7 linked regions of the Mus musculus genome follow. The protein of the gene in region 5 purifies or fractionates together with the protein of the main gene of each other region. This does not show direct contact. Links are inferred from orthologs where the notes say so. Each region holds a gene or a part of one and is shown on either strand. Other genes may lie near its edges.

Evidence for each region.
Region 1: the proteins of Anapc4 (region 5) and Anapc7 purify together in Homo sapiens (affinity purification with western blotting; 14 studies listed by BioGRID and IntAct, with this or other methods). This does not show direct contact. The link is inferred for Mus musculus from reciprocal best matches to the Homo sapiens genes ANAPC4 and ANAPC7.
Region 2: the proteins of Anapc4 (region 5) and Ccna2 purify together in Homo sapiens (affinity purification with western blotting; 3 studies listed by BioGRID). This does not show direct contact. The link is inferred for Mus musculus from reciprocal best matches to the Homo sapiens genes ANAPC4 and CCNA2.
Region 3: the proteins of Anapc4 (region 5) and Anapc16 purify together in Homo sapiens (co-immunoprecipitation; 10 studies listed by BioGRID and IntAct, with this or other methods). This does not show direct contact. The link is inferred for Mus musculus from reciprocal best matches to the Homo sapiens genes ANAPC4 and ANAPC16.
Region 4: the proteins of Anapc4 (region 5) and Mad2l1 purify together in Homo sapiens (affinity purification with western blotting; 14 studies listed by BioGRID and IntAct, with this or other methods). This does not show direct contact. The link is inferred for Mus musculus from reciprocal best matches to the Homo sapiens genes ANAPC4 and MAD2L1.
Region 6: the proteins of Anapc4 (region 5) and Anapc1 purify together in Homo sapiens (co-purification; 13 studies listed by BioGRID and IntAct, with this or other methods). This does not show direct contact. The link is inferred for Mus musculus from reciprocal best matches to the Homo sapiens genes ANAPC4 and ANAPC1.
Region 7: the proteins of Anapc4 (region 5) and Anapc15 purify together in Homo sapiens (affinity purification with mass spectrometry; 10 studies listed by BioGRID and IntAct, with this or other methods). This does not show direct contact. The link is inferred for Mus musculus from reciprocal best matches to the Homo sapiens genes ANAPC4 and ANAPC15.

What each region holds. Positions count from the first base shown.
Region 1 is NC_000071.6:122,425,253-122,429,277, reverse strand, and holds part of Anapc7 (anaphase-promoting complex subunit 7), read right to left. Parts: intron 1,148-4,025; coding exon 961-1,147; intron 1-960. UniProt on the Homo sapiens protein: Component of the anaphase promoting complex/cyclosome (APC/C), a cell cycle-regulated E3 ubiquitin ligase that controls progression through mitosis and the G1 phase of the cell cycle.
Region 2 is NC_000069.6:36,564,073-36,567,434, forward strand, and holds the end of Ccna2 (cyclin-A2), read right to left. Parts: intron 3,042-3,362; coding exon 2,928-3,041; intron 2,603-2,927; coding exon 2,469-2,602; intron 2,211-2,468; coding exon 2,162-2,210; 3' UTR 1,436-2,161; coding exon of another isoform or gene 1,357-1,435; 3' UTR 1,225-1,356; coding exon of another isoform or gene 1,146-1,224; 3' UTR 793-1,145; downstream 1-792. Other genes in the region: Exosc9 (exosome complex component RRP45), read left to right, coding at 1,146-1,224, 1,357-1,435. UniProt on the Homo sapiens protein: Cyclin which controls both the G1/S and the G2/M transition phases of the cell cycle. Functions through the formation of specific serine/threonine protein kinase holoenzyme complexes with the cyclin-dependent protein kinases CDK1 or CDK2.
Region 3 is NC_000076.6:59,992,726-59,996,750, forward strand, and holds part of Anapc16 (anaphase-promoting complex subunit 16), read right to left. Parts: intron 3,890-4,025; coding exon of another isoform or gene 3,865-3,889; coding exon 3,723-3,864; intron 1-3,722. UniProt on the Homo sapiens protein: Component of the anaphase promoting complex/cyclosome (APC/C), a cell cycle-regulated E3 ubiquitin ligase that controls progression through mitosis and the G1 phase of the cell cycle.
Region 4 is NC_000072.6:66,538,020-66,541,931, forward strand, and holds the end of Mad2l1 (mitotic spindle assembly checkpoint protein MAD2A), read left to right. Parts: intron 1-945; coding exon 946-1,049; intron 1,050-1,751; coding exon 1,752-1,924; 3' UTR 1,925-1,931; exon of another isoform or gene 1,932-2,406; 3' UTR 2,407-3,088; downstream 3,089-3,912. UniProt on the Homo sapiens protein: Component of the spindle-assembly checkpoint that prevents the onset of anaphase until all chromosomes are properly aligned at the metaphase plate.
Region 5 is NC_000071.6:52,847,301-52,851,325, reverse strand, and holds part of Anapc4 (anaphase-promoting complex subunit 4), read right to left. Parts: intron 3,336-4,025; coding exon 3,271-3,335; intron 2,733-3,270; coding exon 2,690-2,732; intron 2,572-2,689; coding exon 2,495-2,571; intron 869-2,494; coding exon 768-868; intron 684-767; coding exon 632-683; intron 1-631. UniProt on the Homo sapiens protein: Component of the anaphase promoting complex/cyclosome (APC/C), a cell cycle-regulated E3 ubiquitin ligase that controls progression through mitosis and the G1 phase of the cell cycle.
Region 6 is NC_000068.7:128,684,071-128,688,714, reverse strand, and holds the start of Anapc1 (anaphase-promoting complex subunit 1), read left to right. Parts: upstream 1-1,319; 5' UTR 1,320-1,562; intron 1,563-2,654; 5' UTR 2,655-2,678; coding exon 2,679-2,891; intron 2,892-4,051; coding exon 4,052-4,213; intron 4,214-4,644. UniProt on the Homo sapiens protein: Component of the anaphase promoting complex/cyclosome (APC/C), a cell cycle-regulated E3 ubiquitin ligase that controls progression through mitosis and the G1 phase of the cell cycle.
Region 7 is NC_000073.6:101,894,774-101,899,513, reverse strand, and holds the start of Anapc15 (anaphase-promoting complex subunit 15), read right to left. Parts: upstream 3,184-4,740; 5' UTR 3,064-3,183; intron 3,053-3,063; exon of another isoform or gene 2,154-3,052; intron 1,782-2,153; coding exon of another isoform or gene 1,727-1,781; 5' UTR 1,720-1,726; coding exon 1,697-1,719; intron 1,573-1,696; coding exon 1,443-1,572; intron 961-1,442; coding exon 901-960; intron 615-900; coding exon 477-614; intron 321-476; coding exon 273-320; 3' UTR 1-272. UniProt on the Homo sapiens protein: Component of the anaphase promoting complex/cyclosome (APC/C), a cell cycle-regulated E3 ubiquitin ligase that controls progression through mitosis and the G1 phase of the cell cycle.

The sequences.
Region 1 (4,025 bases), about 70 Mb from region 5:
CTGGTCTACAAAGTGAGCTCCAGGACAGCCAGGGCTATCCAGGCGTGGTGGTGCATGACTTTAATCCCAGCACTTGGGAGGCAGAGGCAGGTAGATCTCTGAGTTCAAGGCCAGCCTGGTCTACAGAGTGAGTTCCAGGACAGCCAGGGCTACACAGAGACAACCTGTCTCAAAAAAACAAAAAAAAAAAAGAAAGAAAAAAAAAGAAATGAGAATAAAACCCGGCAGTGGTGGCACACATGTTTAATTGTAGCACTCAGGAGGAAAAGGCAGGGGGATCTCTATGAGTTGGAGAGACCAAGCTCACCTAACCAGGACACAAAGCACCCCAGCAGCATCAGCTGTGAGGGACAGGAGAACCCCAGTATTCATTAATACAAAGATGAAAGAAAAGCAGCACTCGGGAACCATGGAATATCATGTGATAATAACAAAGAATATAGAACTGTTTCATTCTATAACCAACCAGCTCAGTGCTGAAACAAGTACTTCAATCTTGTCTCTTAGTATGTGCATACATACATATACATATACGTATACGCGCTGGAGATGGCTCAGCAGTTGAGAGCACTGGCTGCTCTTCCAGAGGTTCTGAGTTCAATTCCCAGCAACCACATGGTGGCTCACAACCATCTGGAATGGGATTTGATGCCCTCTTCTGGTGTGTCCGAAGATAGTGACAGTGTACTTAAATATATAAAACAAATAACGTACATTTCCTTTAACAAGTAAATAAATAAAAAAAAAACCCAAATAAATAAATCAATAAATATATACACATAGACAGTCACAGGCACGTCAGACGGTGGTGGCCACCCTTTCACGTGGCTCTCTGAATTTGAGGCTAGCCTGGTCTACTTCCAAGACAGCCAAAGCTACATAGAGAAACTCTGCCCCCCAAAAACACAATAAATGACTGACTGAGTGACTGACTGAGTGACTGAGTCTGCTCTTACTCACCTGACTCTGTGGAGTAGATGCAGAATTCCCAGTGGAAGGCCGCACTTTGGAAGTCTTACTTAAGGCTTTCTTCTGCTGTAAAGCCATGGCGTACTTACTCACAGCATTGCGGTACTCCTTATCGTGAAACAGAGAGTCTGCATGATACACCAAGAGCTGGTACTTCTGCGACGGGGAAAACAGCTCACTAGAACATAAAGGAAACAAGTCCTACATGGGTTATTTTGAAAATTAGAAAGAGCACCTTGGTGTACCTAAGCCTACCACAAAAACCTTCTATCACGCCAGCTTGCAAAAAAACATGAATACAGCCGGGCGTGGTGGTGCACACCTTTAATCCCAGCACTGAGGAGGCAGAGGCAGGCGGATTTCTGAGTTCAAGGCCAGCCTGGTCTACAAAGTGAGTTCCAGAGAAACCCTGTCTCGAAAAACCAAAAAGAAAAAAAAATATTCCTTAAATTTAAGTGGCTTAATGAGAGGCACAGCATTTGAACACCATGCAAATATGGCCAAAACATCTAAAACACTATCTTACTGTATTGTGGTTTTGTACAATGTGTGTTTTCTTACTACAGAAGCTAATGATACCTATAAATCAATACAATGAACAAATGGAGAACACAGGCTTTCCTTCCCATTTTTACATCCTTCCATCTTTTCTGGCTTTTTGAGACAGCAGCTCACCTGTAGTCCAGGTAGCCCTGAACTTACAGCAATCTTCCTGCTTCTGCCTTGGAAGTGATGGGTCACAGAATGGACCGCTATGCCTACTCAATAAGACCTCTTAATTTAGTACTGTTTTACATACACCTCTATTATCTTAGGTTAACATCAAATTTTATGGATAATATTGCCAAAGGATAGCAATAATTACAAAAAAGCTAGAGACTCTAGAAAGAAAATTTACCACTCTGAATTATTTCATTGAGAAACTCAACAAAACAGGCTCCTGCAAACTTCAAATACCAAAGAAAAAAGCCAGTAAGAGAACACAATTGGAAAGCCAGAATGGCAGAGTGATAACGGATTAGTCTATCTTAGAGTCATTACTGTGATTTATATGCGTATGTGCACAGGTGCACGCTGCTGCCCAGAAGAGAAGGTTGGACACACACCCCCCTAGGAACTTGACATGCATGCTAAGAAATTCAAGTCCCCTCAAGAGCAGCAAACACTCTTAACTATGGCGCCATTTCATCTCCCCAGGCCCTAAAGGCTCGTTCAATTCTACAGACACAAAGCAAGCTTGCCAGCACTAGAAGCACACTGTCACCTGGACTCTCAGGTGTCTAAAGTCACTGTGTGGGAATCCCATGCTTCAAACAGTCCTCTGCGCTCTCTCTCTATCTCTCTCTGTGTGTGTGTGTGTGTGTGTGTGTGTGCGCGATGGAGCCCAAAGCCTCACAAAGGCTAGGCAAGCCTATCACAGAACTTCAACCTCTAACCTCAAAAAGATGCAATAGTCCTTATAAGCAAGGTTAATGCCGAGACACTGCTTTATTTCCGTCCTGCATGGGGTACCAAGCCAAGGTCTCTGCATGTTAGGTAAGCAGTCCACCCACAGCTTATCGGCAACCCTGGTTACCACTCTTGTGTTTATACCTCCAGTCCCACTCCTTCCCAAATTAAGTAATGGTATATATTTTCCTCTGAAAGGTAAAGAACAGACTGAGACAAGGAAGTCTATAAAAAGGTACTTATTTCATGCTATTATTATTTTGTTTGGGCTTTTTGCTTGTTTCTTTGTTTGTTTGTTTGGAGTCAGGGTCTTACTGTATAGCTCTGGCTGTCCTGGAACTCACTCTATAGACCAGGCTGGCCTCAAACTCGGAGATCCACCTGCCTCTGCCTTCTGAGTGCTGGGATTAAAGGCGTGTGCCATCATGCCTGGCCCAAGTATTTTAAACACAGGGGAAGCCATATGTGGTGGTGTAGATCTTTAATTCACTGAGATTTGGGAGACAGAAGCAGGAAGATCTTTGAGTTCAAAGCCAACTTGGTCTACGTAGCCAGTTCCAGAACAGTTAAGACTATAGACACTGTCTCAAACAAACAAAATGGGAGACAATTTTTTTAAAAAACCAAACAACTAGGTACCACTACCAGGTAGGGTCATATATTCCTGCAATCCTAGCATATGGAAGCAGAGGTAGGAGGACCAGGCATTCAGAAAGCTATCCTTGGGGTCTGGAGAGATGGCTCAGAGGTTAAGAGCTCTGACTGCTCTTCCTGAGGTCCTGAGTTCAATTCCCAACTACCACATGATGGCTCACAACCATCTGTAATGAGATCTGATGTCTTCTGCTGGGGTGTCTGACGACAGCTACAGTGTACTTACATATAATAAATAACAAATCTTTAAAAAAAAAAAGAAAAAGCTATGCTTGGCTACATAATCAATCCAACATCAGCCTGAGTTATGACCCTCTCTCAAAAGGGAAGTTAGAGGGGCTCAGCAGTTAAGAGCACAGGAATTTTGCAGAGGATCCAAGTCTAAATTCCAGCACATACATCGGGCAGTTTACAGCTCTTTGTAACTCCAGCTTACACCTCCAAGGAATCTGATGCCCTCTTCTGGCCTCCAAATGCACCAGGCACATAAACATAAAAACCAAAGTAATTCCAAGTCTATTAGCAGTCAGTCCCGCAGTCAGTCCCTAATGTGACTTCATTTGGTAATCTATAGTACCTTCTTAAAAAATAAGCTGTATTATTATGTATGTGTACTTAGGAACCTGTGTACAGGTACATACAACAAAATCATTCAAAAGAGTCAAATGGGCCGGGCGTGGTGGCACACGCCTTTGATCCCAGCACTGGGGGGGTGGGGGGGTGGGGGGGCAGAGGCAGGTGGTTTTCTGAGTTTGAGGCCAGCCTGGTCTACAGAGTGAGTTCCAGGACACCCAGGGCTACACAGAGAAACCCTGTCTCGAAAAACCAAAAAAAAAAAAAAAAAAAAAAAAGTCAAATGGGATAGATGGAGTCCATAATCTCAGAACTTGAAGGTAGGAGCAGGAGGATCAGGGGTTCAAGGTCAGCCTCAGCTTCACGAAGACCGGTGTGCT
Region 2 (3,362 bases), on a different chromosome or scaffold from region 5:
CCTTCAGAAGAGCAGTCAGTACTCTTCTCAGTTAGTTCTGAGCCATCTCACCAGCCCACTATTGAACATTTTAAGTGTGGCTTATCTGAGTTAGTATGGCCACATTGGTATGTTAGAATGTGGGAAACTTTAGAAGCCCCCAGAAAGGTCTTATGTATATGTGTGTGCTCCAGTATGCCAGGGCATGCATAGGGAGTTCAGAGGAACTTGCTGGAGTCCCAGGAAGTTGTGAGCAGCTCAGTATGGATGCCAGGAACCAAACTCTGGTTCTTTTGTAGGTACATGCTTTTAAAGACGTCACTAAATGTGTGCTACCTATGTATGAAATGAGTGCCTTGAAGGCTAGAGTCAGGCATCAAATCTGGAGTTGCAGGCAATTGTGAGCTGCCCCCATGTGAGTGCTATTCCCTGAACTCATAGCAGTATGCACTGTTAACAGAAGGGAATTGCTACTTACAGCCTTTTGGTGGTATTGTTTTGGCAGGGGAACAATGTTGGTTTAACCAGATAAATGAGTAAATTAAAGATCCTAATTAATTAGGACTATTAAATGCTGCATAGAGAATCATCCAGTTGGTTTAATCATCAGTAATGCTTTTTCTTATCTTCTCACTATTACGGTGCTAGTATATCTTTGCACTTGTATATCTCTTTTCATAGAGGCTTTTTGTTTGTGGTTTTAAGAACCCTGAGCAATGAAAGTGGACCTAAAATAAGTAGGACAGTGAAGAAGGTAGAGCTTTCCTAAAACATGTGAATAAAGATGAGACAACACACAGCCCACCAAATGGGTAAAGGGTTAATTTGCATGCTTTATTTACACACATATATAATTACTGTTCAAGAGAAAAATGGGCAAACAAAGCAGTTTTCTACATTTTTCATGGGCAGTCCTGGTAGCAAGAATTAGAGCATTCTGGCCTACATGTCCTCTGGGGAAAAAGGAAAGAAAGAGTTTATAGAAAACATCAATTTTTACAAATTTTCAGAGCTGCAAGGAGCTACTTACTTAGAACAGGGTAAGATTCGGAAAGAGTGTCAGCCTCCGGGCAGTAGAGCTTGGGAGCTCCCTTAGCCTGGAGATGGGAGCGTTAGGACCTCTGATGTGCTTAAGCAGTAAACTCCTTTTTTGGACTTTTCCAAAGGTGCCCCTATAGTGCTATCAGATAGTGAAGAAGAAGAAATGATTATTTTGGAGCCAGAGAAGAACCCAAAGAAAATAAGGTAACAAATTTCTGGCCTCTTTCAAATATACATTAAAAGCTGGTTCTATAAAATGGGGCACCTTTCAGAGTCCCAGTGACCCAATCCAGGACAGATGGGATACAGTGAGCTGTTATATTACTTCATTCACAGAGCTCAGACCAGTGCAAACCAGAAGGCACCAAGTAAAGGCCAAGGGAAAAGGAAGAAGAAGAAGAGAACTGCTAACTAAGCTAAAGTGGTGGATCTCTGTGTGTGTGTGTGTGTATACATACTCAGTGCTAACAGCTCTGGGTATCTTACAAGCTGAACTTCTTGATACACTGTTTGTCTTTAACATTATGCTTTGAATAAACTTTCTGGAAAACTTTTCTGTTGCACAAGCTTCCCAACTCATGTAAGACCTTATTTGTTAAAGTTGATAAATAAAATGTCTCCATAAACTACTGTAACATCTGAGAGCCGAATGAGTTCTGCTACATTGAAAACAGTTTGTCTACTTTTGGTTATTTATGAACAAGTCAGCAGTTTGGTTTGGTTGCTTAGAATAATCAATCAATGCCAGAATTTGAAGGTCTTTTTCCCTGAAATATTTTAGTTTTATAAAATCTTTTCCTACTCCCCACTGTACAATAAAACAAATCAAGTTAGTTTCTAAACGACATCATTCATATTTTTATCTCAGATTAACTTTGACTTGCAAAGATTTCCAAATCAGTTTATTCTCAATATCTTGACAGTTGGCAGCACCAATGTTAACCAATTAAAATTATCCAAATAGACACATGTACAAAAGATATACAAATTAAAACCATTTTAAAAGCAATGGATACCATAATTTGTCTGTGGCTATACCATCTACATTCAGAAGTGATTGTGAAACTAAAACCCGACATAAAAACTGTACAGCATGGACTCCGAGCGACTCCTGTTTCAAACAAAGCCGGCAGTCTTTCACTCACACACTTAGTGTCTCTGGTGGGTTGAGAAGAGAAACACTGTGATATCTGTTGAGCAGAGAAAAAAAAAACTTTTAGTAAACATTCATTGGGGAGATTACAGAACAATTCATGTACCCCAAGACTGGAGAAATGCTACTTTTACTTGATTATGAATTTAAAAACATTTGATACGTAGAGCACATACATCTGCCCCCTTACCCTTCTCTTACCAGAAGCAAAGGCACAAAAGCTTCCTAATACATGACTTAAGAGCCAACTGAGGTAGTGGCAGGTTACTGTATTCAACAAGAATTGGATTCTTACTTTGAATGCTTGTACTTTTCCCGTATTGACTGTTGGGCATGTTGTGGCGCTTTGAGGTAGGTCTGGTGAAGGTCCACAAGACAAGGCTTAAGACTCTCCAGGGTATATCCAGTCTGTTGTGCCAATGACTCAGGCTAGGGAAGGGACAACCATTGAGTTTTTTGTAACAGCACAGGGCACTGACCACAAGCTCACAGTTGATCTAAATATTGGCACTAATCATTGACAGGATGTTTTGTTATTTCTAAATGTTGCTCCCTCCTCAATTCTTCACTCAGGGTGTCCCCCCTGTTTCAGCTCACTCACTCCATCTTTTATTTTGGCTGTTTACTTCCCCTGCTTGCAGCAGGTGGAAGGCTCAGATTCTTGAAGCAGAGCTTTCAGTGCACCTTTACAGCTAAGCTTTCAGCCCAAATCAAAGCGGCACCCATACTGGAGAAGGCAACTGGTAATACACACCCAGCTCTGTCCTGTGACTGTGTAGAGAGCCAAGTGGAAGGCAGCTCCAGCAATGAGTGAAGGCAGGTACTTAAGGTACGGGTCAGCATCTATCAAACTCAGTTCTCCCAAAAACTGAAATAAAAAACAAAACAAAACCCCAACTTTTATAATCACACATAAGACTCAAGATTTTGAATCCTTGCTTCCTGACCAGTTTCCATTGTCTTGGATCTCACTGGTTCTGTATCAGCCCTGGGAAAATTATTTCAATGTTTTCCTCTATTCTCAGCTTACATTTCTCTCCCCTAATATACTAGGTTGTTCTCTTTAAGCCACTAGTTAGCGCCTTTCCAGCATGGTCACTTTTGTGTATTCATTGGGAAGTTCTCTCCTGAACCTCTCAGCCCCTATCCATGGACACTAGATACTTAAATCTCTTACATATAAAAGATG
Region 3 (4,025 bases), on a different chromosome or scaffold from region 5:
GTGGTGAAAAAGTTCAGTAAATGGCCCAAATCCAACTCTATCACCAAGCCCACTCAATTCAGTGCTAAGACATTTCATTTAAAAGCTATTACTCCCTAGTAGGCAATGAGACAACCCCAGGTGATTTATATGAAGCAGTGGCCTGTGAGGTCCCTAAGATACAGCCACTTGTGGGCTGGAAGGCAGCCTCTAATTTGCTCACTAATAGCTGGGTGAGAGCAATGCTAGCAGAGGGCAGGACACTGTTAAATCTTGCTGCATGCTGCTCTTAGCAGACAGCAGATGTAACAAGAAGTTCATCCCAGAGGTTAAACATAGGTTGTTTGGATTTATATCCTAGATTTAGGGGCAGGCAACAAACATCAAGTTGAACCTGTTAGGATTATGACCCACACCCAACCTTGACTCTTTCTTCCTTCCTTTGTTTTTTTTTTTAAAGGATTTCTTTATTTTATATATGCAAGTGCTGTTTTCATGCACACCAGAAGAGGGCATCGGATTCCATTACAGGTGGTTGTGAGCCACCATGTTGCTGGGAATTGAACTCAGGACCTTTGGAAGAGCAGCCAGTGTGCTTAACCACTGAACCATCTCTTCAGCCCCACTAACCTTGATTCTTAAATGCTTTTGCTCTCTGCTGCCCCTGCCCTCCTCCCCCTGCCTTTTAAAATAAAGTCTCACTCTGTGCCCAGGCTGGCATGGCAGTCTCTAGATAGTTCAGGCTATCATCACACTCAGAACAGTTCTCCCATCTCAGCCTTCTGAGCACTGGGGTTTCTTGCTTTCCATCAGCGTGCTCTGTTTCTATTTTCCTCTTCCATTACACTAATGTAAAAAAAAAAAAAAAAAAACAGGGCTGGGGATGTAGCTCAGTTGGCACCATTGGGCTTGGACCCCAACTCGGAATAAAGCAGACAGAGTAATAAATAATCTATGTCTGTAGTCTCAGCACTTGGGAGGCAGGAGGAGGAGAATAAGAAGCTCAAGGAGTCAGAGGTCAAGCCTGGACTACACAAGACTCAAAACGAAATGAATTCAACAACGAAGAAGAAAAGGCTTTGATGCAGGCATATTAACCTATAACAGGGTCACCCCGAGATCTGACATTCCTGTCAACTCACATTTAGGAGTGCTTCATGGAAGGACACACACAACTCATATGCAAATACCATGCCACTTCACAGAAGAGACTGAGCACCTGTTGACTTCAGTATCCATGGAGATGAGGCACAGGTGTGGAAGTCGGAGGTGGTGTAGGAGAGGAGGCTGAAGCAGAGCCAAGCCCCAGCAGATACTGTGAGGGTAATGGTGGTGTTTTCATTTTCTTTTTTTTTTTTTTTTTTTTTTTTTTTTAAAGATTTATTTATTTATTATATGTAAGTACACTGTAGCTGTCTTCAGACACTCCAGAAGAGGGCGCCAGATCTTGTTAGGGATGGTTGTGAGCCACCATGTGGTTGCTGGGAATTGAACTCAGGACCTTCAGAAGAACAGTCGGGTGCTCTTATCTGTTGAGCCATCTCACCAGCCCCGTGTTTTCATTTTCTTAACTAGGCATTTATTACTTATGTATGGGTCCTCATGGGAAGGTCAGAGGACAACTTTTGGGAGTCAGTCCTCTTCTCCCACCATCAAAGCCACAAGTCATACTTAGGCGGTCAGGCATGGTGCCAGGTACCTTTTGCCAGCAGAGCCATCTTTTCTGTATTTTACCAGACAGCCCCTTTTCTGTATTCTTGATATTCAAAAGTATGTCAGATACTTGCTTTGTCGAAGTCAGTTGTCTTTCATTGTAAGCAGCTTTTAAGATTACTGGGGAAACTGGTTAAGAGAGGCCATAACTACACCATGAATTTACACGTGGTAAATCCACCATACGATAGAATCCAATTGACTCCTCAGTGAGGTAATGAGAACGTCTAGATAGAGGCCTGTTAGACCATGAGCTTCTGACGGACTTGAATCACTTTTTTCTTGAAGCAGTGTTAAGCACGGATTCTTCTCTGTTCTATAAAGCTCGTTAAGCAATTTAAATGCCTTCAACTTGCCATTTGTTTTGTGGCTGGCCTCCTTAACTACATCGCTGCTGCAGAGAGCTACAGTTGTAATCCACTTTTAGTGCCAAATACAGACACAAAGATTCTACTTCCAGTCAGACTTGATGATACCAACTTGAATATCCACACAAACGGAGACCAACAAAAAGGCAAAGCAGAAAGTACACATGCCTGACACACCGCCTTCCACACCACACGGCACCTGTGGCTGCTCTACCAATTAGATGCAAGTGACCCCAGAGCCTTATGGCACTAGAGTCTCCCAGGCATGCAGCCGGGTCAAAGAGTGCCTGCTTGCCTACCATGCATGAGGCCACTGGGTATCCAATCCCCAACACTGCTTTGGCATAGTTTAACCTGAAACTGGGTTTTTAAAAGTACCTGATATAAATGTATAATGATCTCCCTAGAAAGCCAGTCCCTGAATAGTTTGTGCCTTTCTCAGAGATATCACCCAATTAATTTAAAATATATGCATGTAAATATGCAAGATTTAAAGCAAAAAAGAGCATCTTATAATTCAATACAAAAATGCTTGACTCCAGTGAATTTTGAGTCTTTTTTCTTTCTTTTTTTTTTTTTTTTCTTTCAAGACAGGGTTTCTCTGTATAGTCCTGGCTGTCCTGGAACTCACTTTGTAGACCAGACTGGCCTCAAACTCAGAAATCCGCCTGCCTCTGCCCCCCAAGTGCTGGGATTAAAGGCGTGCGCCACCACCGCCCGGCAAATTTTGAGTCCTTAATGGGTTCCTTGTCAGTATTTTTTCTTTTTTGTTTTTTTGAGACAGGGTTTCTCTTTATAGCCCTAGCTGTTCTAGAACTCACTCTGTAGACCAGGCTGGCCTCGAACTCAGAAATCTGCCTGCCTCTGCCTCCCAAGTGCTGGGATTAAAGGAATGTGCCACCACGCCTGGCTCTTTGTCAGTATTTTGAAAATATGAGAAGACTCCTTCATGAGAAGGCCTCAGATACTGGTCAAAAACCAGTTTCCTGTCCTAGGCTAATTCAGGATCTGTAGAGTGGCCCAGACATGTGCATTTAATTTTTTTTTTCTTTTCTTTTCTTAAAAGAGAGTCTCATTGTACATCCCTAGTTGGCTGGAACTCACTATGAAGATGAGGCTGGCTTGGAATTCAGAGATACATCTGCCCAGCAAGACATGTTCATTTTAAGTTAAATGTGTCACATGAGTCTTACGCTCCTACAATGAATTACCAGTCTAGTTTACATGAATCCGAGACGTTCCAGTCACTAATGCCATTTCATGGCTGCTGCCCGTGACCTAGTTCTGGCCAGCCAGTCTGTGTGATAAGACCAAGTCTATCTCCAGTGCTATAAAAACCATGCCGTCACACAGCCATGTCCGGCAGTGGTCCATGAGAGTCACCTTCACAGAGGTAAATACATTGACTTTTATTTCCCCTTTAGGCCTCTCTGGTGGGATTAGTCTATCTGTAGATACTTACTAAAAGAGAAAATACATCAAGCAGGTGTTATGAGGCAACCTGCAGGAGACCAAGAGGGTACGTGGTGCCAGTGGCAACCCTGGTCAGGTCACTCAAGGGCTTTGGCTTGGAGCTATCTGAGCCCCCCCCCCCCAGCCCCAGGTCCTTTACACTCTACATGAACTGAAGGTCTGAAGGAAACCCAGCATGAGAGACATCACCTTCTAACATCTCTCCAGCTCCTTTCGGGTAGGTGAACAGAGCTTTCCGAGGTGGGGCAAGGTCGGACACACTGAAACCAGATCCGGTGACAGAGCTTCCACTGACCCCACCAGCTGAAGACGAAGACGAGGAGGCGGCCATTCCCTCCAGTAGAAGTCTCTCTTCACTAGAGGAAAGAAACAGCGATTGGCAAGTTTATAAAGCCTGAGTGACCGCACTTCATTCTGGCCCAGTAGGGTCAGCTTTCCCTACCCTCCAGCCTTAGGTAGTCTTATAATGTCACTTAGGTTTTAGAGTAAATC
Region 4 (3,912 bases), on a different chromosome or scaffold from region 5:
AGTTCCTCATAGCCTGTCAGGGATTGTGTAGATAAGATACTTTCAGCATACTGCCTTTGGGAAAACCCCATGAGATTAGGCCTTCGTGTTTGTGGTTATACCTGAACCTCTCACAATATAATATATGTGGGCCATGTAATCACTGGCTTAAACGTACAGGAGATGATCCTAGACTCATTCCTAATTTAGATGAAGCTCTACTGTACTTCCCCTATTGCCGTGAACTTTGTAAACTAAAGATTGCAAGCACTCTACATCAGAAATGCCTATCATGCTAAGCATGTGCTTCTGGAAGGTACTGTAATGAAGAGCAGTTTGTTTCTGAAGTCTTCAATCTATAGGAAGTCGTTAGCTTATAAAAACATTTGTATGTAATTTATTTTACCTGATTCAATCAGGAATCCGGTATTTAGATGTTACCTTTAAAAAAAAAAGTCAAAATTTAGGCTGGAGAAATGGCTCAGTGGTTGGGAGCACTGGCTACTTTTCTAGAGGACCCAGGTTCAGTTTCCAGCAGCCACATGGCAGCCCACAACTCTGTTTAACTCCAGTTTCAGGGGATCCCCGGCAACAGGTATGCATGTGGTGCACATAAATGTGCATGTGGGCAAAATACCAAAGTTCTACCAAGTTAATTTGTTGGAATCCATTTTCCTTTATGTTAAAGACTTACTGAAAATATGCTTACTGAGAGTGGTTGGGAAACTTACCATGCACAGAAGGACCAGATACTAAGATCAGCCTTAAAGAATGATGGGAAGGACAGATACAGTAACCCAAGAATATCTTTAGCCATTAATCTTTAGTCTCCTAATGTATTGCATCTGTGTTGTTGGAAGCATTTTGTTCAGAGAGAGTTACCAACGTGTTTTAATTAACTTAATGAAACCTAGAAGGAGTTATTTCTTTGATTTTTTTTTTTTTTTTTTTTTTTTTTTTTTATAGTGTTCGTAGAGAAAAGTCCCAGAAAGCCATACAGGATGAAATTCGCTCAGTGATTAGACAGATTACAGCTACTGTGACATTTCTGCCACTGTTGGAAGTTTCTTGTAAGTATTGTACAACTTAACTTAAATTTGCTGGAGAAAATGTTCATTACCGTTAGGAGGAGCCTACATTTGTTAAATCTCTTAATTTATCATTGCCTTGTAACATAAATGGGATATGGGAAGCAGAATACAGCACAAATAAAAACATGCATATCTGAAAACTGTGGAGACAAGGACTGGGGGGATGGCTCAGTGGTTAAATACTTGCTGAGCAACTGTAAGGACCTGAGTTAGGATTCCCATCACCAGGATCCTCCAGATGGTTGTGATGGCTCACCTATAACTCCAGCCAGAGAGGCAGGAATAGGCTCATCAGAGCAATCTGGCTCCCAGAACTATCCACGTTGGCCAGCTCTCGGTCTGCTTCGTCAATAAAGTGAAAGCACAGCTGTTAATTTGGAGACTCCGCCTGTGTGTTCATACATACACACTCAAGAAAATGAAGAAAAACATGAAAACCCTAAAAAACAGAAGTATACAACAATACTTTTGAAATTTTTCTCACAGTTTTACTACTTTTATTTTCTACTAGGAAGTATAATGCTCCGTTCTACACCCAGTTTCTATCAAGTAAAAGATTCATTAGACCAGGCTAAGCTACCTTTCTAGCAAGAGGTGGTTCAAAGTGAGGCCCAGTGAGAGAGAGGCAGGGAGGAGACTTCACTATTGAACAGCTTTCCTTTACTCCCATTCCCAACGTAGGTTCCTTTGATCTGCTGATTTACACTGACAAAGACTTGGTGGTACCTGAAAAGTGGGAAGAATCGGGACCGCAATTTATTACCAATTGTGAAGAAGTCCGTCTACGCTCATTTACAACCACAATCCATAAAGTGAATAGTATGGTGGCCTACAAAACCCCTGTCAATGACTGACGAGACGGTGAGGAAAAGGATGGAATTGTCATTCCCAAGTGTGCTTTTCCAGAAATTAAGTCAAATAGAGTTGCTACATTTCCTTGTTTAATTTTCCGGTGAAGAAAGCTAAGATCCGACATTGATAAATGTGTGTTATTGTTCCATTTCTTGGGTTCTTCCTGGACTTGTCTGAGTCGACAAGAGTGCTGCACATTGTTAAGGGGAATCAACAGATTTTGTTAGCATTGTGGAATGAATTCCTTTAAAAATGGTCATTGTACATAGAAAAACTTCTGTTAAAACGCTAACTACTTCCCTTAACATTGTAACTGGACCAGGATATAAAGAAGCGTTTAAATGTAAACACAGCAGAAGGGATCAAAGCTTTTTTAGTTCTGAGGGTCAGTCAGGAATGTTGCCAATCCGGATCCAGTGAGAGAGGCAGGGAGGACAGCTTTACTATTCAAAAGTTCTGTACTTTACTCTCATTCCCAACTTAGGTTCGTTTGGTCTGCTGATTTACACTGACAAAGATTTGGTGGTGCCTGAAACGAGGGAAGAATCAGGACCCCAGTTTATTACCAGTTCTGAAGAAATCCGTCTACACTGATTTACAACCACAAGCCACAAAGGGAATAGTATTGTGGCCTACAAAACCCCATCAATGAAGAGACGGTACACATACCATCCCCCATCACATTATACCTTCTGCTGTATTTATATTTAGATGCTTCTTTATATCTTGGTCAAGATTCTTCTGAGCAAAATCATTAGACAAAGTATTTAGCTTTTTAAAAGAAGTTTTTCTACCTACAGTGACCATTGTTAAAGGAATCCATCCCACAGTGAATCTGTTGGCTCCCTTAATAACGTGTAGCACTCTTGCTGATTCTGTGGTAAGTTCAGGAAGAACCCACGAAATGCAGCAGTAAGACACATTTCTCTTTATATAGACCCCATATTGAAATACATGCTAATTATTTGATTTTGTTGTATATATCTTGAGCTCACAAAGCAGTTGATGCTGTTTAATTTCTGTAATAAAGAACTCTTATTTTAATGTTTTATAAAAATCAAGCTTTAAAAGTCAGTGATACAAAAAAATTAAGCCTTGTGTTTTAAATTTGTGTTACAGTATCTTTGATATTTAGTTTGGTGCTAATATAGTCAGATACTTCAGTGGATTGAGTGGATGGATTGTGTTCATTTTGATTATGTGATGGGGATGGTTTTGTGCACTGGAAATTCAGATGCTGATTGCTGTGCTCAGAGATCTTGTTGTAATCTGGATATTGGCAGTTGCAGTCCTTGTTATAATAGTAGGCCAGGCCAGCATAGCCGGGTCAGAACACATGAGAACACTGCCCAGTTAGCACAAGAAGCTTGTAATAAAAATACCATGTCTGTATCATTTATTTGGGAACAAGGGTGGTACAGAAAAGCCTCCAAAATTACTTTTACATTTTGTAGGGCTTTATTAACCAATCAGACATGGTGGAAACCAATCTTTACACATTGAGCTAGGTGATGCTTCAAATACCATGACAATGCCAACTTCCAGACTGCAACCAGATCTCAGCATAGCACACAGTCCACAAGACCATCCCCAAACAACTACGTACCACCTTTTTCATCACAACAGTACAGTTAATGTGAAGACGCAAATGCCCTCTGAAATTAGTTCAAATATTAGGCTGTGTTGTCAGCCTTGTGTTTCTTATGATCTTGAGCACCATGCTTAATCCTTTGCATCATTGCTACTCTTAATAGATGTGTTGGTTCTAATTTTCCAACATTTAGATTTTTCCAGAAAAGTGACAGCTTTGTTTATAGTAATTTTGAGGTTCTAAAATATCTCTGAATTTTGTAAATCACATTCTTATAAGTTGACCATATGCCTGAAAACATTTCATACCTCTTAGAGATTTTATACTATTTACACATTTTAAAGTCAAGGAGTCAGACTGAGTTTTTTTGGAAGTGAGTTGGAAATATTTGGCCTATAA
Region 5 (4,025 bases):
GGCGCCTAATACAGGAAAGCAAGACGGACAGTGCCTTTGTACACAGCGAGACAGGGAAGTGAAGCACAAAGCACAGAAGGAGCAGGTGCAGGGTAAAGGGACAACCTGTGGGACAGAGGATGGCTAGACGGATGGAGCAGCACCCTTCAGAAAGACAAGCCAGGCAAAGGTGTGCTAGAGACGGACAGTACAGACAACAAGAGAGTCTAAGGGGAGGGAGGTGGGGAGCACAGAACACTGTGCCTGCAGCATTTGCAAGGCTCAAAGTTTCAGGCCAGCCTGGGTACAAAGGGAGTCCCTTACACAACATAACACAACACAACACCACAACGTAACGCAATAAGACAAGGCCAACAGTGTTCAGGAAAATCAAGACAAAAAATAAATAAAACAAAACTGGTAGGTACAAGAAATAAAATTAGCTTTTAGGAGAATAAAGAAAGTGAACAGAAAGAGACACAGGAGTTAGAATGAGGATGAAGATGGAGAGACCAGAAAATAAAGTTTTTCATTAAATGATCTCTGTGCTACTGACTTATTCTGATAAAAATTTGTCTTAAGAGATTCAGGTTCTTATTTAAGTAAAAAGTAATATTCTCATAGCCACACTCCTGGTTAGCACATGACTTACTGGAGAAGTTCGTTTGCTTTGAGGATGAAAGAACCCACAGCAGTAATAGCATCTAAAGAAAAACAGACAAAAAAGGGTCACTTGTTGAGTAAGTGAACTGTATCTAGTGTAGTCTATGGAGAAATTCAATCAATACCTTCAATGCCTGCAGCATCCAGTCCTAGAGGTTCGTATTTTTGTTTCCATGAAGCCATTCCTTTAAGTTCACTCAAATGATACAGTAAAGACTCAGAGCCACTAGCAAAAGAGCAGAGATAAGTACCATTACTATCACCAAGGTGGTAGTCAACAATCACTTGCTGATTTCAGAAAACCAAACAAATCTTAATAATCTTTCCACAGAAAAGATTTACCCAAGCTATTTCGAAGAATCATTTGTGCATCATGACAACTGAGATGAAAACAAGACTACCAGATTAGATTCTCTATCACGGTCAGACTTCGTGCAGTGCTTGTCAAGCTCTCTATCCACTGAGCTGCACCTCCAGTCCTAACCCTGGCACTTTACCATGTGGACATTTGTTCACTAATAGACACTTTTGTTTAAAGGACAGGCTCTTACTATCTAGTCCTGACTGGCCTAGAACTGTGCAAACCAGGCTGGCCTCTAGCTCACAGAAATCCACCTGCTTCTATGTCCTGGGTGCTGGGAATAAAGACATAAGACACCAGCCTGTCTTCACATATATTTTTAAGCTCTGACTTTATGTCAGATACCAGGGACTGGGGACATAGTGGGAAATAACGGTAAGGTCCTTGAAGCATTTAGTGTAATAAGGGAGTTAGTTACAACCAGTCATGCAGTACATCTTCCTAACTACCCACCCTAAGGGACTTGAGGGAAATGCACAGGTGAAATAGAAGACCCTGATCTATTCTAGGAACTGCTGAAGGCTTCTCTGAAGACGCAAAGAGCTAAAGAACTCAGGTAAAGAGAAGATGAGAGTGTTCCAAAAAGAAAGGAAGGTTATGTAAATCCTTGGGTGGAACTGGGGATGTAACTCAATAGTAGAGTTTGTTTATGCAACTTGCCCAAGACTCTACATTCCATTCCCAGCATCATTATTAATAAATGAACAAACAAATCAAAGATATTTAAAAAAAAAAATAGGGTAGGGGAGAGAAAAAAAAAGCCTTGAGTGGAAGATACAATATCAAGCTTGGGAAAACAAAAGGTATCTAGCATGGGTAAAGCAGAAGCAGACATGCTCAAGGCTTTGAAAAAAGCAAAGGTACTGCACGTTTTTTAAGTAACATTACACTCAGTGGAGAAAGGGAAAGAAACAGACACGGTACAGTATGGAACAGACCAAAGCAGAAGGTACTCAGCAAGCTCAGGGGACTGTGGGTATTTCTAGAAACCCAGCATAAGAGTTGTCAAAATACAAACCAAACAGTCAGCAGCCACTTATAAACTGCTTCACTCAAGTTACTGTGCACAGAAACAGCAGGAGACCTGGAGAACCCAGGAGCGAGCCTCGGCCTAGTACTGAAACACTGGGCCAGCCACATAGCTAACTCTTGTGTGAAACCAAGATGACAAGAACAAACTGCCAAGATATTAAATGAAAAAATACGTACAATATTAGAAGCTATGTGGCTTATTTTATAGTTAAATAAGAAAAAAAGGCCAAATACTCAAAAAGTTCAGCCTGGTTAAAAGAATTAGAAAAGTATTTTCACAAAAACAATTGTCATTACCGACTTCAATCTTGGGTATGCCAAGTTCCCTAAAATGCCAATGCAAATAGCTAGAAAAGGCTTGAAAAGACAATGTCAAACAGTGGAGAGAGGAAGCAGAAATATGACCAAAGCCGTGTATGTATGAATGCAGTATCAAAAAATTCTACATCACTTCCATACCTCTGTAAGTGACTTATAACCAGTTTTTGTATACTGGAATATGATGACTCTATAGACTGGCCAAGCTTTTTTAAGCCCTAATTAAAAGAAGAAAATACATTTAGCATGTAACTATGATACTATATGTCATTCCCAAAAAAGACCACTATTAAAAATGTGTTCACAGCCACTTAAACATATAGACTTTAACAGCACCTTCACTGTTAACTGGTTCATCAGGAGAGTCTGAAGTTCAGCACTGCAACAAAAAAGAAAGTATTTTAGTAATCTTTCCATTCAAACTCTGAATGTGCCATTTAAAACCTAAATTTCAAAGTACAAACAGGATTTTGGAACAAAATAATCATGAAGAAACAGCACCGGTCAAATGAGGACTGGACTGTGTTTATCCACAAAGAGACAGAAATGTCACAGTAAAGTCCAGAAATAAACCAATTATACACTTCTAAACATCAAGAAGGGATCACTGACTAGTACCCTGGAGAGTTATTTACCCAAGGTGCCAGAAGAAAAAGATTGTCTTGGCTACATAAAAGTTCTGGAATTTTATACATCCAATATACATACGCACATTCATACTTATATATACATACCAAATGATCGCATGTATATAAAAAGTTCATAGAAAATCCCCAAAACTGACATACATTTCTGGGGGCGAGGTCTTCTACCGGAATTTTGTATTTTATCTTTATAAAGGCAATAACTACCTTTGAGTAATTACTGTCAAGAGAAGAAGGGAAAGAGTCAGGGTGGGATCGTCCACGTGCGCTCACCTGGCTTTCCCCCACAGCAGCAAGTGCATGAACTCATCCTGCACTGACGTGGTTGTAGGTTTTTCCTAGATAAAATTTAAAAATTACATATTTATATTCATAAATATACTTATATTTATTTATATATTTAGTATATTTATATTATAATAAACATAAGCATATTTATTCAAAGTTATAGGGACATAATTTTAGTACAGCTCCACCCAGCTGTACCAAAGGGGAAACAAAGAGTCTGCCACAGTTTGGATGTGGCTTGTCCCCAGGGTCTCTCTGCTGAAGGCTTGCCCTTAAGGTGATGACACTGACATGGTAGGCTCTTTAAGTAGTAGCTGAGGATGGAAGGTGGCGAGTCAGTGAGAAGAAATGAAGTTGACACTCTGGGAACACTGGTTAGTTCTTCCAAGAGTGGTTGTTAGAAACAAGATTATCCACCCACACCGCCTGGCTTCCTGTGTCAGTGTGACCCCTATTAAACATGCTCTTGCCATGATGACACCTGATGAACCCTCCTCAACAGATGGAAAACAAATGATGCTACATAACCCTCAACTGTCAGAATCTAAAACTAAGAGCTAAAAAAAAATTCCTTTTTGATATATTACAAGCCACAGTACTGTTATTGAAACAGAAAACTGACTAATATATTCTTTTCACACCCTGCCCCTAAAAACTAAGGTTGTACTGAACCATCTAAAATAAAGATCTTAGCATTTTGCAAACCAAACTAATTTTTTTCTTTTTTTTAAAAAGATTTA
Region 6 (4,644 bases), on a different chromosome or scaffold from region 5:
TGGGAGGTAAAGCCCCTAAAACATTCCCCCAAGTTTGTTTTCCCTGATCTCTAAAAATACAGCTGGAAAGAAGCTCTTTGTTCTCTATAGCCAGCAAAAAGCCATTTTGTTTCTATACCTTACAACCAGAGATGCGATAATTGTAATTTTACCAAGGACACCCGGCAGAGAAGAGCTGTAGCCCAACTCCTCCCAATTCCTCAATATCTACAATAAAAACCTCCTCAACCATATCTAGGAGTGGTCACGTCCTTGTTTTCATTCACCGACCAGTTTGTTCCCTATCGGTTTGGGTTTCTAAGTACGGCCTCTTCAGAAGGCAATCCCCATCTCCCTCATCCTAGGCTGGCAGTGGCAGAAGATATCATAGACTCAAGGAGAATGACAATGGCTTGGTTGCTCAGAACACAGTGGAGAGTGGGGTATCCTAGTCCAAGTGACTCCTGGTAGGGTTGATGGGGTTGTAGACAAACTGTGTGATGGGGCAAGAGGTAGAGGGTAGAGAATGGAAGCAGTGAGATTGACAGGCCACTTACGTGTGCTCCTTGTTGGGTTTTCTTCTGTTTGTTCTTCCAGATAGCCTAGTGTGTGATAGAAAGGCCTTTGTAGGATAGGGAGGTTTTGCGGGGAGGAATCAAGAGGTCGGAGCAGAGCATGTGGAATATGTGTTAATTTGACTGTTTTTGATTATCCAGGCAAGCGAATTTCAGCTAAGCAGGCATTCCGCTCACCAAGTTCTAAGAGCAAGCCTTCCTGTTGCAGTGCAGCTTCAAGCTCTGAAGGATGGCGTTCCAAGAAAAGGGATGAGAATGAACTAAAATAAATGTGTATCACAATAGACAATTACAGTGAAGTTATCAAATTCCAACAAACTGAATTTTGGAGCAAAGAAATGGACTGGAACTCTTTATTCTTTAGGCTATGATAGGCCTCACCATTTTTTTTTTTTTTTTTTTTTTTTTCTTAGCGATGACGAACAGTTAACGGACTAAAGCCCATCTTGGGTGGGGGTGTGTGATTTCCGGGTAGAGAATTTTCCATGCAATCCTGAGAAAATGAGTGGTCTCCCTTCCGCTCCCATTCATCAGCCAGGAGGCACACATCCCCTTTTGAGATGAGAAGGAAACTCAACCAGCTGGGAAAAAAAATTACCTAACTTAGCTCAATTGAGAAGGTAGTTCAGGATCTTAGAGATTTGGTTTGTTAAAGAGGTAACGTCGTTAAGTGACCGCCTTCGCTATAGGCACTTGCACAGACACCTTTTTCAACTGCGCAGGCGCTAGGTCCTCTCCGCTGCCGCGCGTCCCCAGCCTGGCTCTGCCCTGGCGCGAGGCAGGTCGGGAAATCCAAGATGGCTCCAGCCATTTGAGTTGTTCGCAAGTCTTTGGTGTCCCGCTGCCGCCCATTCTTCCTCCGGCATCCGGGAGGGAAAAGGGATGAGAAACTGGGGCGGTGAGGAGTCATCGTGACGGTCCTGTCGCTGCTCTCGGGCCTTCGCGGCCCTTGTGCCTCCGGGGAGCAGCCGGGGCTCGCAAGCGCCTGACGCGTCCCGAGTTATTCAGGTGCGGGCCGGGCCGGGTCGGGCCGGGCCGGGTCGCGCATCGCTGCGACTTGGTGTTGGAATTTCGCTGCACCGGGTGCCCCAAGGGCTGAGCGCCCCGGGGCTGGCCTTGAGCTCCTGCTGGGGTGAGAGGAACCCCAGTATCAGACTGGGCTTTCCGGGTTGGCCCGACGCGCCATGAGCCGATGCTCCGGCCGCTACGCCGTGGCGCGGTTCACTCAAAAGCACGGAAAGCCTGTTTTTGTAGAGACCCAGCTCAGGGTCCCGCTGTTTGCATATGTTCCTAGTAACCAGTAATGACAGTTTTATTTCTAGCATGTCAACTCAATGCTTTTATGTGGCCTGTAACGAATAACACGTTTAACAACTTTTGGAGAACTGTAAAAGTATTAAGTATGATGTCTTTGGGTTAAAAGGCATCTAACTGAGAAAATGATGCTATAAAAAGTTATCCTGTAGGTTCGTTTTAAGCTAAAAGGGAATGACATTGCATGTTTGCATGAGGAAACGTCGGGTAAAGTTGCAAGTTCTTTAATGTTGACTGCTTTGTTGAATAGAATTTGGAAAGGCCAGCCACATTTTGATAAGCCCCTACTTTTCATAAGGCATATGTGTTTTTCAAGTTCTGTTCTCAATATTGATTTTATTTCTAGGAGGTGAAAAAGAAACTTGGGCCTGTTTTTTGGCGTAATCATTTCAGGAATGACGTTTAAGTCACAGCAAGGAAGATTTTGTAGCTATAGAGGGCTTCGTATAAACTAGAGGCTTTCAGATTGTTAAAAAAAATGATGCCAACAAGACTTTAGATGAGAGCTTCAAGTCAAATTTAGTTAGCAGTTGTTATTCTTAAGTGCCATTTCAAACACTGAGGGTTATAGTGCTGCTAACAAATGCTGTTGTAGAGGTTTCCTCAGAGACAAAAAGGCACATACTATGCCACAGAATGTTTGAATGTTAGTTATCTTTACATGCCGTGTGTCGAAATGTCTGTGAGGTGGATCCCCATGTTTCTGACCTAGCTCCACTCGGGTCTCTGTAGTAATAACTTAGTTTTGACTAGAAGGCTGACAAGAATGCGTTTGGATTCACACAGAAATAATGTTCATATTTGGAACCCATGTCGAACTTCTCTGAAGAAAGGGCAACGATGATTGCAGCCGGGGATTTGCAGGAATTTGTTCCTTTTGGCCGAGACCACTGCAAGCACCACCCTAACGCTCTGAACCTTCAGCTTCGTCAGCTGCAGCCAGCCTCTGAGTTATGGTCTTCTGATGGTGCAGCTGGCTTGGTGGGATCTCTTCAGGAGGTTACAATCCATGAGAAACAGAAGGTTTTATTAAGATTCTCATCATACTTTTGAAATTTAGAATGAATACCGTGCTAATATAAAGCTGCCTATATGCATGTGAGAAATAAGTGTATGTTGGCACTTGGTTAAAAGCTAATGTTTGGTCATTTCAGTCAGTGCTGAAATATGGTGCTGCCTACATAGGCATGCTGTGTAACTTGTAATGAGAGTTGAGTACTTTAATCATGGCTCATTTTAAACTTTATCCTCACTTCAGATGTGGGTAATCAGGTTTTATACTCTTTGGTGACTAAATGCCAGAGGTTAGAAGTGGTACCTGCAACACATGTTTCTAGAAGAGGGTTGATGTCACATAAGGGTGTTAGCATAGTAGTACTTTCTATTTTGAGGTGGACCTTAGTCAGTAGCCCAGACTGACCGTGGAGGTTTAAGCTGCCCCTCTCTTCTGCTTTACCTAGTCTTTGTATTTGCCTTTGAAATTAAATCTCTTGGAATGTACATAGATAGATAGAAATCAGAAACTTTTTAGCTTCTATTCATCTTATGTGTGGGACAAGGGGAAGAAGATAAATAATATATTTGCAGCTGTGAAGCAAGGAAGTCCCCCCATTGAGTCCTATGTGCACCTGTCTATTTTATGCCTTCTACATACATTTAATACCTACTTTTAGTTTCCCTTCAAGCATGGGTTTTATCTTATACTCTATATGTAAGAGATACTTTTTGTGTGCCTGCGTTATTGGCAGAGCAATACTAGGAACATAGAAGTATAAAATAAAGTACTTCTTATAGAGAATTTTTGAGTCAGTTTTTAAAAAACCTGCCTGCTTGTATGTCTGTGCACCATGTGTGTGTAGTGGCCATGTGGGCCAGAAGAGGGCTCAGATCTCTTGGAACTGAAGTTATAGACAGTTGTGTAGGTGCTGAGAATCAAACCCCAGTCTTTAGAAGAGCAGCCAGTGCTCTTAACCACAGAGCCATCTCTCCTACCTCTCTTAACTTATCTCAAGAGTCCCGTGATGTAATGTGCCCACTTTGCTAATTCACTCATTGTGCTCACCTATGTATTGCAATCCTTGTAGGAGTTAGTCTTGGGTTGAGTCTTAATTTACAGGCAAATCTTGCTTCAAACTACTGAAAAAGAAGAAGTGCTGAGCATGTCCTGTGTGTTAATTTTTAAGGAAAGCTGGCAGTTAAGAAAAGGTGTGAGTGAGATTGGAGATGCAGCTGACTACGATGAAGAGCTCTATGTGGCTGGGAACATGGTTATCTGGAGCAAAGGGAGTAAAAGCCAGGCACTGGCAGTGTACAAAGCGTTCACAGTGGACAGCACTGTCCAGCAGGTGAGTTTACTGAGTTTGCACAGCAAACAACTGTTAATATAGCTGTTTGGAAAAGAAGTTTGAGTTTTAAAATGATAACAAATGACAACAACAGTGTAACAATTGTAGCAGCTGGTTGTACATTATGTCTGGCAGGAAAGTAAGATTTTCATTTTATCCATCATGACAGTGTCTCTGTAGCCCAGGCTGGACTGGTATTTGAGATCCCCCTGCCCCAGCCTCTGAATATGACAGGCACCTATCACCGTGTTTGGCTTATCACATTCTATATTTTTTGGTTATGAGCCTAGCCTTTAATTCCTGAGTCATCTTTCCAGAATCTTATCACATTCTTCACATTATTCTTTGCTTAGTTGTCTTAGTCAGGGTTTCTATTCCTGTGTAAACATCATGACCAAGAAGCAGGTTGGGGAGGAAAGGGTTTATTCAGC
Region 7 (4,740 bases), on a different chromosome or scaffold from region 5:
AAGAGGGCTAGAAAGGGACCACACCTGGCAACCAAGGAGTGAGGTACCAGCCAGGAAGGTGGGATGGGCTCAGGCTCTTGGGATTCAAGGGAAGACTCATGGCCTGGAAGGGCCCAAGGAGACCTTGTCCTGGCAGTAGCTGAGAAAGTGCCTAAGGGAAAGCTTTAGGCACTACAGCCACAAGCTGGTTCTGCAGGCTGAGGGGCTGAGGCTGTAGATTCAAAATAGGTTGGGGTGGTCTGGAATCACTGAGGCCACCTTGGCTTGTCTACCTAGATCATCCACTGGTCCTGATCCTGTTCGTTGCCTTCCATGTCCACCTGAAGAGGAGGCTGGGTGTGGGTGGGGAGGAGCCTCAGCCAGCCTCAGCCCAGATCCTGCCCCTGGGTACAGCCAGGGTTTCTGTATGCCTTGGCCATCAATTAGATCAGGGGCAGGAGCCTAGGAACAAAGGCACTCCCCTACACCCCGCCTACCTCATTGACCTCTCCATCATCAGGTGACTCATTATAGTCATTCATCTCATCCATGTCTTGCATGTCCTCATCATCTTCGGAATCCTCTTCACTGTCCTCATCATCTTCATCATCCTCTTCTTCCTCATCATCGTAGTGCTGGTAGAGCAGAAAGATTCTGTAGGCCTCAGGGCGCCTGGACCAGGTCAAGAGCTGGCCAACTTGGAGCTTCCACCTTCCCAACCTTGCCTGCCTTGAGTCTGGCAGGCTGCTGCATGACCTGAAGGTCCTTAGTACTAGGCACAATGCATAGCCCCTCAGGTTCCCACGTTTTCTGTCTTCCCAGATTGAAAACCACAATTGTACTGAGCCAAAAGTAAGGCCATTAAAGTAAAGCCTTGTTCTACTGGGCTTCACATAGGCCCCACCCACAGGAACCACTCACCTCTGAGGCCGGCTTGCCAATTGGTACCAGGTTGTTGTCTTTCTCTGCGATGCTTTGGAGCTGTGGGCAAAGGAGTAGGGGGGAAAGTAGGGCCAAGGCACAAGCAGGGCAGGTCAGGGGCATTGGACTGGCTTCCCCTACCCCTGAAGAGACCCCAAATGTTGAAACAAAGCTTCTCCCCCCAGTTCTCAGGAAGATGCAATCTCTCTCCTGTCATCTGTTCCTTATAAAATTGATAGACATATGGAAAGTCTTTGGGCCTCTGTTTTTTTTTTTCATATAATTCTGGTGAAAGTGAAATTATTAAGTTCTGTGATGTATAGAAAAGATCCTAGGCTGTCAGGGGCTTGACATCTATCTAATCTACCCCCGAAATCCTATGGTCCCTCAGCGAGTTAGGGTGCCACAAAATAAGAACTTTATCCCCCAAAACTCAGCTTGACTATTCCCCACAGAGGAACCTTTTTCTAAGCAGGTCTCCAGCGTAAGGCAAGCTCACGGCCCGGTGGTAGACCTCCATGCTGCACTGGGTCCTCACTCACCCAGGCCTGATGCTGCTGCTCCTGCTGCTGCAGCTCTGTCTCCTCCACACAGGGTCGGTCCAGATTAAACCACAGTGTCTCAGTCACACGAGGGAAGAGTGACGGGAACAAGGTGGACATGGCTCCTAAGCTGAGGGAAAGGGTCACGTGAATATGTTTTGTTTTGTTTTGATGCAGTTGAAATTTGATTTAGGGATAGGGTGGATTGGGTGGGTAGCAGAGAAGCTGCCCTGCCCTCTTGAAATCAGACAGACCTGAGTTTGAGTCCTGGCTCCATCACTTACTAGCTCTTTGATTTTGGCCAATACACTTAACCTCTCTGGGCCTCAGTTTCCTCATCTGTAAGAATGGGGATAATTAAAATTATATCATCCTCAGTTATTACGACAAACAAAGAAAATAATGAGTAAAGCTGTATGTTGCTTAAAGAGAGAAGAGACTGGGAGCCAGAGATGGAATGTGGCATTGTGATTATGCACAAGATTAGCAATAGCAGAGATCTAGTAAAATTCATTTTAAATACACACACACACACGCACCACAAAACTTATTTTTTGCTCTTTTGATTCATGTCACATCCAACCAGTGCAAAATGGTGTGGACATGAACCACCTCTCTCACCAACCAGTCAAACTGCAGTACACACAACCAAGGATAAAAGAAATTCTCAGAGGGATGAGTAAATAACAAACAAATGAAGAATGAACTAACATGGAAGAGAACAAAATCAACTCTGTGGGCTGAAGCTGCTGACCAGGAAGGTCACCAAGAAGCTGAACTAAAACGCCCTGGCTCACAAACCCAGTGACATGTAGAGCTTGACTTTGGCCACACACTCGATGGGGGCTTAAATCCTACGCAAGGCAGGGATCCTGGCCCAGCACTGTAGGAAGGGCACAGGAAAAAATAGAGTTGGTGTCTACCTTGGTGTTTCCCCCTATTTTTAGTAAATGAAACAGGGTTACAATATTTAGCCCTGACTGTCGTGGAATTCTCTATATAGACCAGGCTAGTCCCAAACTCACAGAGCTCCGCATGCCTCAGCCCCCGGATGCTGGGATTAAAGGCGTATACCAGCCCCCACACCCGGCCCTACTCTAGCTTTTGTTCCAACTTAATTTGACCCACGCAGAACTAGACGCTGTCATTCCCTAGACCAAAGCCCCCCCAGGTCCGTGTGATGGGGGAAAAAAAAAAAGGCGCGTCCACCACGATCCCGAAAGCACTGACAGATTTTATATACTAAAATTCTACCCACCACCGCCCATTCTTTGCTCATTATGATAATGACTGCGAGATTGACCAACAGGAAGGAGGCAGGGGCGGGTCTCCGTCAGGATTTTGACCTTATAGGGATGCTAATCGCAAAATGCGCGCGGCCTGGCCGAAGCCAATTAACTGCAAGAAATGCTGGGTGACAGGAAGTGAAACCAATGCATGACGGACCATGTGCGATGGGTGGGGCTTAGACTCTAGGAAACGGCCAGTGAGCAGGATGTCTTTAAGAGTAAAAATGGGGAAAATGAACTGCTAGGGAAGCGAGTCAAAGGAACTGGGTTTCTCTGGAAGCCGGAAGAAAGAACAAGCAAGGAAACGGCAGCAGTCTCGTTTCCGCACTTACCGCGCCAAGAGCCGGCAGCCGGCGGCGACCCGGAAGCGTTTCCCCAGGTCTGAGCGGAAGAACCCACCAGAATCCGGGACTCACTAACGCATGCGTCTTGCGTCTCCTTTTGTTTCCCGCTTCAACACCGAGCCGGAAGTGATGTTGATGTACTTTAGTTACGTACTAGTTGGGGGAGGACCCTCGCTTGCCCCGCCTACCTGTCAGCTCCTCCTTGAATCTCCAGCGGCAGGGTTTCTCCAGGCTAGCCCCTCGCCTGCGTTCGACTAGTCCCGCCCTCCTGCCACTCGGCGGTGTTTGCGTGTTAATCTCCTCGAAATAGTATGGTTTCCAGAAATGTTCGCTTGTGTGGATGCCGTGTGTGCTGCTGCGTTCCAAGAAACATCTGTTTCTTCCCTTCTGTTCTCTCAGACTCGGTTTTCTGTTTGAACCCTTCTCCTCCTCCTCCTCCTCCTCCTCCTCCTCCTCCTCCTCCTCCTCCAACTCCTCCAAGATCTATTTATTATATGTAAGTACACTGTAATTGTTTTTCAGACGCACCAGAAGAGGGCATCAAATCTCGTTACGGATGGTTGTGAGCCACCATGTTGCTGGGATTTGAACTCGGGACTTTTGGAAGAGAAGTCAATGCTTTTAAGCGCTGAACCATCTCACCAGCCCCTCTTTTCTTCTTTTTTAATTTTGGTTTCTCGAGACAGGGAACTCAGAAATCCACCTGCCTCTGCCTCTGCCTCTGCCTCTGCCTCTGCCTCTGCCTCTGCCTCTCTGCCTCCCAAATGCTGGGATGAAAGGCATTCGCCAGCACTGCCCGGCATCCATTCTTTTCTTTCTGAGAGGATACCTTGAACATGCTAGACAAGCCTCTGTCATGGAACTACATCATATTCATAATATTTACTTTTCTTTTTTGAGACAAGGTTTCATTGCGTATTCCTAACTGGCCTGAAATTCACTATCTAGACCAGGTTGGCTTCGAAGTCTTCCTGTTGGTATTAAAGCTGTGTAACACCACGCTGGCCTCTTTTTTATCTATTTAAAATTTTATCTTATGTATATGTGTGTTTGAACATCGTGTGTGTGTGTGTGTGTGTGTGTGTGTGTGTGTGTATGCATGTGTATGTATGTGTAGGCCCAAGAGTGATGCTGGGAATTTTCCTCAATTGCTCTTCTATCTTATTCTTATTCAATACCACAAGTCCCTGCTATCGCTGGTCTGACTATCCAGGTTCTCTGAGAATTCTCTGTCTTTACAGAAATTACAGGCTGGTTGCCATAACCATCCAGCAATCATGTGGGTTCTGAGGACCCAAACACCAATCCTGGCTTCTTTTACAACAAGCACTTTAACCCCTAAGGTATCTCCCCAGGCCTGTACATTCTTTGTCTACGCTGTTTCTTCTGTAACTAGCATGATAATCTGCCTGGTTTTCCTCCTGTTCTTGGCTCTGGTGAAGAGTGATGAGATAGAACTGTTCAAGAGGTTCCGTATGTGCTTCCTATCAAATCTGATTGTATGGCCCAAGAGGTCAGCTTCAGCTTCAAACGTTTTCAAACGTTAGCAAGCTCTGCTTATTAAAATTGTAGCACTCAGGGACCTGAGACAAGAGGATGTGAAGTTCAAGATTAGACTGGGCTATGTAGCAAGCTCAATGCCAGCCTGAAATGTATAAGCCCCTG